Macaca mulatta: one gene and its partner. The protein of the gene in region 1 purifies or fractionates together with the protein of each later gene. This does not show direct contact. Links are inferred from orthologs where the notes say so. Each region holds a gene or a part of one and is shown on either strand. Other genes may lie near its edges.

Region 1 (4,417 bases):
GCTGAGGCAGGAGAATGGCGTAAACCCGGGAGGCGGAGCTTGCAGTGAGCTGAGATCCGGCCACTGCACTCCAGCCTGGGAGACAGAGCGAGACTCCGTCTCAAAAAAAAAAAAAAAAAAAAAGTTTTTTCTTTCAAGTTCCTATGAATCATTTACCATGTGCCAGTCACTACGCTAAATGCTGTACATACGTTTAATCATTATAATTGCTTGTGTTGGGTATAATTAATCCCCTTTTACAGAAGCTGATGAAACAGCCGGGTGTGGTGGCAAGCACCTGTAGTCCTAGCTATTTGGGAGGCTGAGGTGGAAGAATCGCTTGAACCTGGGAGGAGGAGGTTGCAGTGGGCCGTGATCGCGCCACTGTGCGACGACCTGGGTGATAGAGCAAGACCCTGTCTCAAACAAAACAAAACAAAAAAACAAAAAACTGATGAGACAGGGAGAAGTAATGTGTGGAACTAGGGTTGGAACCAAGATCTGTCCGATTCCGAAATTGTGTGTGTAGAACTCTCACGGTATTCTGGCTTTTCTAGGAAATGTTTTTTAGGCAGTTATCCTAGGACACGCCTTCCTAAGAGAAAGGAGTACTGTATTCTGAACCACGGGGACCAAAGACTGTCCCCACATCTCATTTCGGTTATGATTATCTCGAAAGTCCCTCAGTTCCAGGGTGGACATTCAAGCCAAAAGGACCTATAAGGGGTCAAAGTTCAAGCACAATTTTACAAATGGGGAGGGCGAAGGGTAGCCCCAAATCACAATGAGAAGGGCAGGAGACCCACTTTGTTATTGTCTCTTTTTCCTCACAACTTCCTCTTTGTAGTTAAGAAGGGAAGCAGAAGCTGACCTTTCTGTCTTACCCCGTTTCTCACGTGGAACTGCCGCACCCAGGGTGGGTAACGTGCCCAAGGGCATATTTGCCTGTGGGCTGGCCTGCGGGAAGGTCTGTTGCCACCGAAAAGACCCACATTCTCAGCACATCCTAATCAAGTAGCTACTAAGTGGAGGGACCGCAGACTGGGTGTCACAGGGAGGGGCCTGCAGCGACCAGGCCCGTCCCAGGATGGCTGCCGAGGCCCCTGGATCCACAGTGGGGAGGGCCCCGAGAACCGGGGGACCTGGGTTCCCTTCCGGGGCACGCCTTTGGAACTGCGGCGTCCAGCCGCACAACCGTCACTATGGGGCCACGGCAATCCCTGCGCCCATCCTCGGTCCCCGCTGCCTCTGGGCTCTTTATAGGCGGGGGACACGCGCCGGCGTCACAAAGCGCCGCGACCGCGCGGGAGGCCAAGAGGCGTGGAAGCGGGAGGAGGAGGAGGAGGAGGAGGTGGTAGTGTAGGAGAGCCAGGCACGGTGGGGGGAGGGGAGGGAGGGGCGCGCGCACGCGCGTCGGGTCGCCAGCCGCTGAGAGCCGCCCAGCTCCCGGCGTGCGCCCCTCCTCCCTCTCTCCCTCCCTCCCTCCCTCCCTGCTTCTCGGCTCCGTAGCTCCCGCGGCGCGAGGCGCTCTCGCTCTCCTCCTCCTCCTCCTCCTCCGCCGTCGCCCCTCCCCCCGCGCAGCCGCCGCCGCCACCGCCGCGAGACCCCCGCACGCCGCTCTCCCCCCACCCCCTCCAGCCCCGCGCGCCCTCCGGTCCCTACGGCCCCCGAAGAGAACGAGAGGGCGAGCGAGCGCGGCGTTCCCGGGCCGGCCCGGCCCCCTCCCTTCACCATCGCCGGCCCTCCGCCGCCTTCCTCCGCTTCCACCACCTCTCCCCCCCCCCCAAAGTTGAGGCCCCCCTCCTGGGGGGGGGAGGACCGGGACCGGGACCCGGAGCGAATTCCCCTAACTCCCTCGACCTCTCCTCTCGCCTGGCCCGAGTGTGAGGAGAAGGGCCCGGCCCGGCCCGCGTCGTGTGTGAGGAGGACCGCGGGCGGGCCCACGGGCCGTGTGGGGCCTGGTCCGGCCCGCCGGGTGTGTGAAGACCGGGGCCCGGTGCGGCCCGGCCCGAGGGCAAGCGGAGGGGAGGGGCCTGGTCCGGCCCGGCCGGTGCGTGAGGACTGGGGCCCGGGCCCGGCGCCGCCGCCGCCGCCGCCGCCGCGATGGCCCAGCAGCAGATGACCAGCTCGCAGAAGGCCCTGATGCTCGAGCTGAAATCCCTGCAGGAGGAACCGGTGGAGGGCTTCCGGATCACCCTGGTGGACGAGTCCGACCTCTACAACTGGGAGGTGGCCATCTTCGGGCCCCCTAACACCCTCTACGAAGGCGGCTACTTCAAGGTACCCTCACCCCCGCTCCCGGACCCTGCCTCCGCGGCCGAGGCCTCCGGCTCCCCGCCGCTTTCTGCCGTTCCTGGGACCAGGAGTATGAGCACGGGCCAGTGGAGGGGGCTCCTCACCCCGGCAGCCCCCTCCCCCATCCGTGGAGGCAGGAAGGCCTTGCTCGCCGAGTGCCTTTTCTTTGTCATGGGGGCGGGGGCGCGGGCGAGGGCGGGAGGGCAGGCTGCACCGGGAAATCGGAGAGTCTCTCTCTGGTTAGGGTAGTGGCTACAGGCGCAGGAGGCCGTCTTTGTTTCCCCAGCTGAGGGCGGGTGGAAAGAGCGGTGGTCTGTCTGTGCTTTCTCGTCCTCCCGTCGGAACCCCTCCCTGCGCAGGCTGGAACTGCCCCAGAGGGCAGGGTGACCTGCACCGACTGGATTGGACTTTTCTTTTTTGGGGGGTGGGGGTGAGGGTGGGGGAGGGGCACCAGCTTGTCATTTAAGAAGCTGCCGAGTGCCCTGACATTTTGAGGATTTGTTGGACTTCTTGGGTAGTAGTAGTGCCAACTTTGCATTCCAATGGGTGGTGGTGAAGAATGGGACCCTAGGGGTGGTTAAAAAAAAGGGGTGCCCGCGTCGTCTTGTCATTATCCTTTTGGGGGAACTTTAACCCTCTTTCCGTTCACATTCTCTGCTTACCTCAGTCACTGGTTCTTTCAAAATGCCCTTTGTCCTCACCGTGCCACCAAGTTTGCCAGCCTTTTTTTCTACAGGTAGAAATATCCACAGAGGGTGGAACGAGTCATGTAGGGAGATTGATAGCTTCCCACTCTCAGAGACAAAATTGAAACCTTCTCAAGTGGTTAACTCTAGCTAAAGGGGTGGTCTCACAGGTGACAAGTACCTGAGGCGAGATCGCTTCTCTGGGTGGGATATATGTTTGCTTAGCGACCACAGACATTGTTTCTATTGTTTCATATGGTTTTAGAACAGTGGTTATTCTAGAATCTAATGGGTTTTTTTTTTTTTTTTTTTTAACTCCAAGGTAGTTAACCTGGAGATAATGAGTGTTTGTTTTGTTTTGTTTTTACTTGAGTGTTTTTGCAGGGAGGAATCACAGATTGAAAGTTTGAATGTTTTAAATGATGCGGGCAGAGACAGAGGAAATGAGTGCTTAGGAATCCATTTAGTTTTATTTTTTTATTTCCAAAATTAAGTAAAATAGGCCAGTGAGTCAATTTTAGTTTGGAAGGGAGGGGTTATCTTGGCACAAGTTTTAAATGAGTATCTTAGTCATGTAGTTGTGATGTGTATTTTTAGGACTACCCAATTACTTAACTCTTGTTTTCTACCCTTCTAAAGGTGGAAACCTCAGTTTTATGCTTGAAATTAGGTCAACTTTATAGGAGATGGGATTTATACAGGAATGTTTAATATTCGCTACTGTGATAGTCACTGAATACTTAGAAAAAGCACGTTTTTAGAATATTATGTAAGTGCGGTACCCCTACCGACTGTTAGGCTTCATCTTTTGTGGTCAGCCTACCCTATACTTTTCAGATGGAGGTATTTAAAATTTCTAAGAAAACATGCAAGTTATTAGTAACAAAGTGGAAAGGTATTGCTGTGTTTATGTTAAGCATATTCTCTGTTGTCAGATATAAATTTTTATGCATACTGGAAAAATGAGTTGTACAAAATTGAATCTATGTGATGCCTTTCTTTTTTTTTTTTTTTTTTTTGAGACTGAGTCTTGCTCTGTCACCCTGGCTGGAGTGCAGTGGTGTGATCTTGTCTCAGTGCAACCACTGCCTCCCAGGTTCAAGCGATTCTCCTGTCTCAGCCTCCCAAGCAGCTGGGACTACAGGTGCACACCACCACGCCCAGCTAATTTTTGTATTTTAGTAGAGATGGGGTTTCACCATATTGGCCAGGCTGGTCTTGAACTCCTGACCCTGTGATCAGCCCACCTTGGCCTCCCAAAGTGCTGGGATTACAGGCGTGAGCCACCGGCCCGGCCATGATGCCTTTTCTGACAAAGCATTGTTTAGCAAAATCTGCTGGCTAATGTTAGTGGAATAAAGTTTACTTTCCAAAAAATGTCATTGTTTGGTACAACCGATATTTAAAGTAAATAAATGGTTACTAGTTAGAATAATCTCACTCCAATACAGTTAAAA
Region 2 (3,646 bases), on another chromosome or scaffold:
TTAAAATATTGTTAATTTGTTATACAGGTCTGGAGCACGAGCACCTGTGAATTTGTCCGTACTCTCAATGGGCACAAGCGAGGCATTGCCTGTCTCCAGTACAGGGATCGGCTGGTTGTTAGTGGATCATCAGATAATACCATTAGGTGGGTAGAAGTTGGTGTGCTGACAGAGCAGGCTGATTCTTGCCACGTTGTTGACTCATCTCCTAGTTCTAATGCTCAAAACAACTCAGAGTAAATGGGATGTTTCAGATAAGAAAGCTTTAGGTAACTTTTAGAAATGTATTTGGCTCTGTATACTCAAGTGGGAAAACCGTGTATGCCCTGGGTGGTCTTCCAGTGTTCCCCCAGTACATAAAGTTTTTTAACCTCAACTCCACCCAGGATCACTTAATATCAGAGCACTTCAGAACAGACTAGGGTGCTGCAGCCCAACTCGCTCTGACTTCCCTCACCTGTAAGCTCCCAGCTCCCTACCTAATACATGGGAGTGTACTTTATTTTTCTCTCCCAAGACTGCATTATGGAATCATCCATTCCTGCCGGGATCGTTTACCTCCATTTTTCCTTCCCAGCCCTCAGCCTCCTTGCTTTCTAATAAATCTAACTAACCTTAGACATTTTGTATCTTGTTAAGAACATGCCTTCAATATCTACTTAATTATCCCGTGCCATTTCCCCACTGTCTTAACACACTCTAGTGGCTTTACATAAGTGACTAAACTTAACTTTGGTTTATAATCAAATTGACTAATGTTTGGTCAAAATAAAGATAGGGTTCAAGATTATTAAAAAAAAATACACATACTAGTAGCTTTACATAAGCTTTACTAAACTTTGGTGTTTATAACCAAATTGCCTAATGTTCGTTCAAAATAAAGATTGGGTTTAAGATTATTACAAAGTTTTTTTTTAAAGGCAAGCAAATAACAAAAAAGCTATAACGGCTCTTTAAGTTTGCTTTATCATTTTAGGCTTTAAGATACCATAAAGTTAGTTTAGAGCTTAAATCTTGATTCTCTTATATTCGTCACGCTTTGTGGTATTGCTTAATGTTTCATCAGTAAACAGTTCTTAACCTCCTCACTGGAATTGTTGAGGTTTTACAAGATAGTAATGTGTATTACTCTGCAGCTTATAGAAGAGAACCACTTTGGAGTCATAGAGGCAGTACTGAATGACTTTGATCACAGATTAGAGATGCTGTCATCACGGGTACTAAGATTTGCTAAGGGCAGCTGTAATAAAATGATCTTTGGATGTATCATAGGAATTACTGGTAGAGAGGCTAAGAAAAAGTTATGATAGAATTAATTTGCTCACTTTATTTTGTACATGCTAACTAGCTATGATTTTTTTTTCTGCAAATACGGTAGAAAATCAGTCATAATAGGAAAAAAGATCTCTAACTCCAGAATGGAGTTATATGCAGAGAAAAAGATTTGGTGTAGTCAATGGGTTTATATTTCCGCCAGAACACTGCGTGTACCTAATCAGTCTCCCACTCTGACCTTGTACATCAATTCCAGTATTCAGCATATAGTATCAAGGAAGGGGTATCCACAGGCCTCATCAAGAGAGAGCTGCTGGTCCACCAGTTCTAACCTCAGTGGTCCTCATGGACTCCACTGTGCTAGAATTACCTTGGGCGGAAGCTTTACCCGATGGCTGTATGTGATATCTCCCTTCCCACCTTGTCTCATCTGTGCTTTTTCTCCTTTACTGCCTACAATCCCTGTCTCCCCAGAAAAGTCTTTCCTACACCATTTGTCTACATGGTTTTTATCAACTCAGACATCAAGAGAATGCCTAAGAACTAAATAGAATTGACGTTTCTTGTTTGTTGATTTTATTTAAATAGTAATACAGACACATGATTAAAAACAGTTTCAAATCATATAAAAGGAAATAGAATAAAAAGTAAGGCTTCCTCCTAGGTTAGTGCTTGGAAACACACAGATGGTATAAATGTATACATATAGCTTTATATGTGTGGTGTGTACTGGAAGTGAGATAGAAATAAAGAGTTCCAAGATAGTGAAAAATTATATCTGTATGGAACAGATATAAAAAACTTACAGATAGTGTGAATCATGTGTGGGAAATTGTTTCACAGAGGTCTGTTTTTCATTCAAGGCTCTGGGATATTGAATGTGGTGCCTGTTTAAGAGTCCTAGAGGGACATGAAGAATTGGTCCGATGCATCCGGTTTGATAACAAGAGGATTGTCAGTGGGGCCTATGATGGGTATGTCTTTCAGATTTTCAGATGTACTGCTATAACTATATCAACAAGAAAAAGAAATGTTGTATATTAAGCAACTCTGTATGTACCAGGTCCTATGGTAGGTTTCTGTGTAGTGGTGGATGGCAGGTATTATTATACCAGTTGTTTAGGTGAGGACACTCAGGCCCAGAAAGAACTAAATCTTGCCCCAAATGACAGAGGCAGAGTCACTGTGGTTCCTAAACTTATGCTTTGAGTCATTGTTGTAAACTCCAGCAATAGCTGAGGTTGTGAGTGTACTCACTTCTTTGCTTTACCCCTAAATTAAGCCAGGCGCTCTCTCTCTGTCTCTCTGTCTCTGTGTGTGTGTATGTGTGTTCTTTTTCTCTCTGTGTGTGTGTATGTGTGTTCTTTTTCTCTCTGTGTGTGTGTGTATGTGTGTTCTTTTTCTCTCTGTGTGTGTGTATGTGTGTTCTTTTTCTCTCTGTGTGTGTGTATGTGTGTTCTTTTTCTCTCTGTGTGTGTGTGTATGTGTGTTCTTTTTCTCTCTGTGTGTGTGTATGTGTGTTCTTTTTCTCTCTGTGTGTGTGTATGTGTGTTCTTTTTCTCTCTGTGTGTGTGTATGTGTGTTCTTTTTCTCTGTGTGTGTGTGTGTTCATGTGTTCAATAATAAGTTTCTTCTTTTCCCCTTTTGGTAAATTGAACAAACCCTCTTTAAAACACCTCACTATATTTTAAATGGGCAAATGGCAACTGTAAATCTTTCCAGATGACCTTATATATACTTCCCAAATGGGTTGGTTGGTCTGTCTGTACTCCTATTACTAACTTCCAGCATTTGCTTAATTTGGAGAAAGGTATCCTTGGAATTTCACACAGAGCCCTAGCTTCTGTCAGCAGCACCTCCTCAGCCCTAGAGAGTCCCCTGATGAATGAACTTGGTGACACAGGTTATCAGGTCCGGAACTGAATTTAGATAACCTGAAGTTGTTTTCTTATCTCCCTTAAAATAATATTTCTTTAAAATTTCAGCAATTCTGAGAATGTGTTGGTTCTTAATTTTTCTGAAGTCAAGTGTAATTGGTTCAGATGATTTGTAAAAACATAAGCATGTTCCCCATTAGCTTTTATAAATAGGCAGTTCAGATGCACTACTTTTTGTCAAGGAAATGTTTGACAGCATATAAATTGTTCATTTTTCCACTAATCACATCTCATTTCCCTTTCTAGGAAAATTAAAGTTTGGGACTTGCAAGCTGCTCTTGACCCTCGAGCCCCAGCGAGCACATTGTGTTTGCGCACATTGGTGGTACGTGACCTCTTAAGACAGGAATTGGTTCCCTGTGCTGGAGGATGACCATTTGCAGATAGCCCTGTCTAGGTGTATCACAGGAGCGCTTGTGTATCTCACAAGATGC

What was found. The genes of interacting proteins can lie anywhere in the genome.
Region 2: the proteins of UBE2R2 (region 1) and FBXW11 purify together in Homo sapiens (affinity purification with mass spectrometry; 4 studies listed by BioGRID and IntAct, with this or other methods). This does not show direct contact. The link is inferred for Macaca mulatta from reciprocal best matches to the Homo sapiens genes UBE2R2 and FBXW11.

What each region holds. Positions count from the first base shown.
Region 1 is NC_133420.1:65,881,989-65,886,405, reverse strand, and holds the start of UBE2R2 (ubiquitin-conjugating enzyme E2 R2), read left to right. Parts: upstream 1-1,471; 5' UTR 1,472-2,082; coding exon 2,083-2,259; intron 2,260-4,417. UniProt on the Homo sapiens protein: E2 ubiquitin-conjugating enzyme that accepts ubiquitin from an E1 ubiquitin-activating protein, and catalyzes its covalent attachment to other proteins by an E3 ubiquitin-protein ligase complex.
Region 2 is NC_133411.1:180,718,473-180,722,118, reverse strand, and holds part of FBXW11 (F-box/WD repeat-containing protein 11), read left to right. Parts: intron 1-27; coding exon 28-146; intron 147-2,138; coding exon 2,139-2,249; intron 2,250-3,458; coding exon 3,459-3,537; intron 3,538-3,646.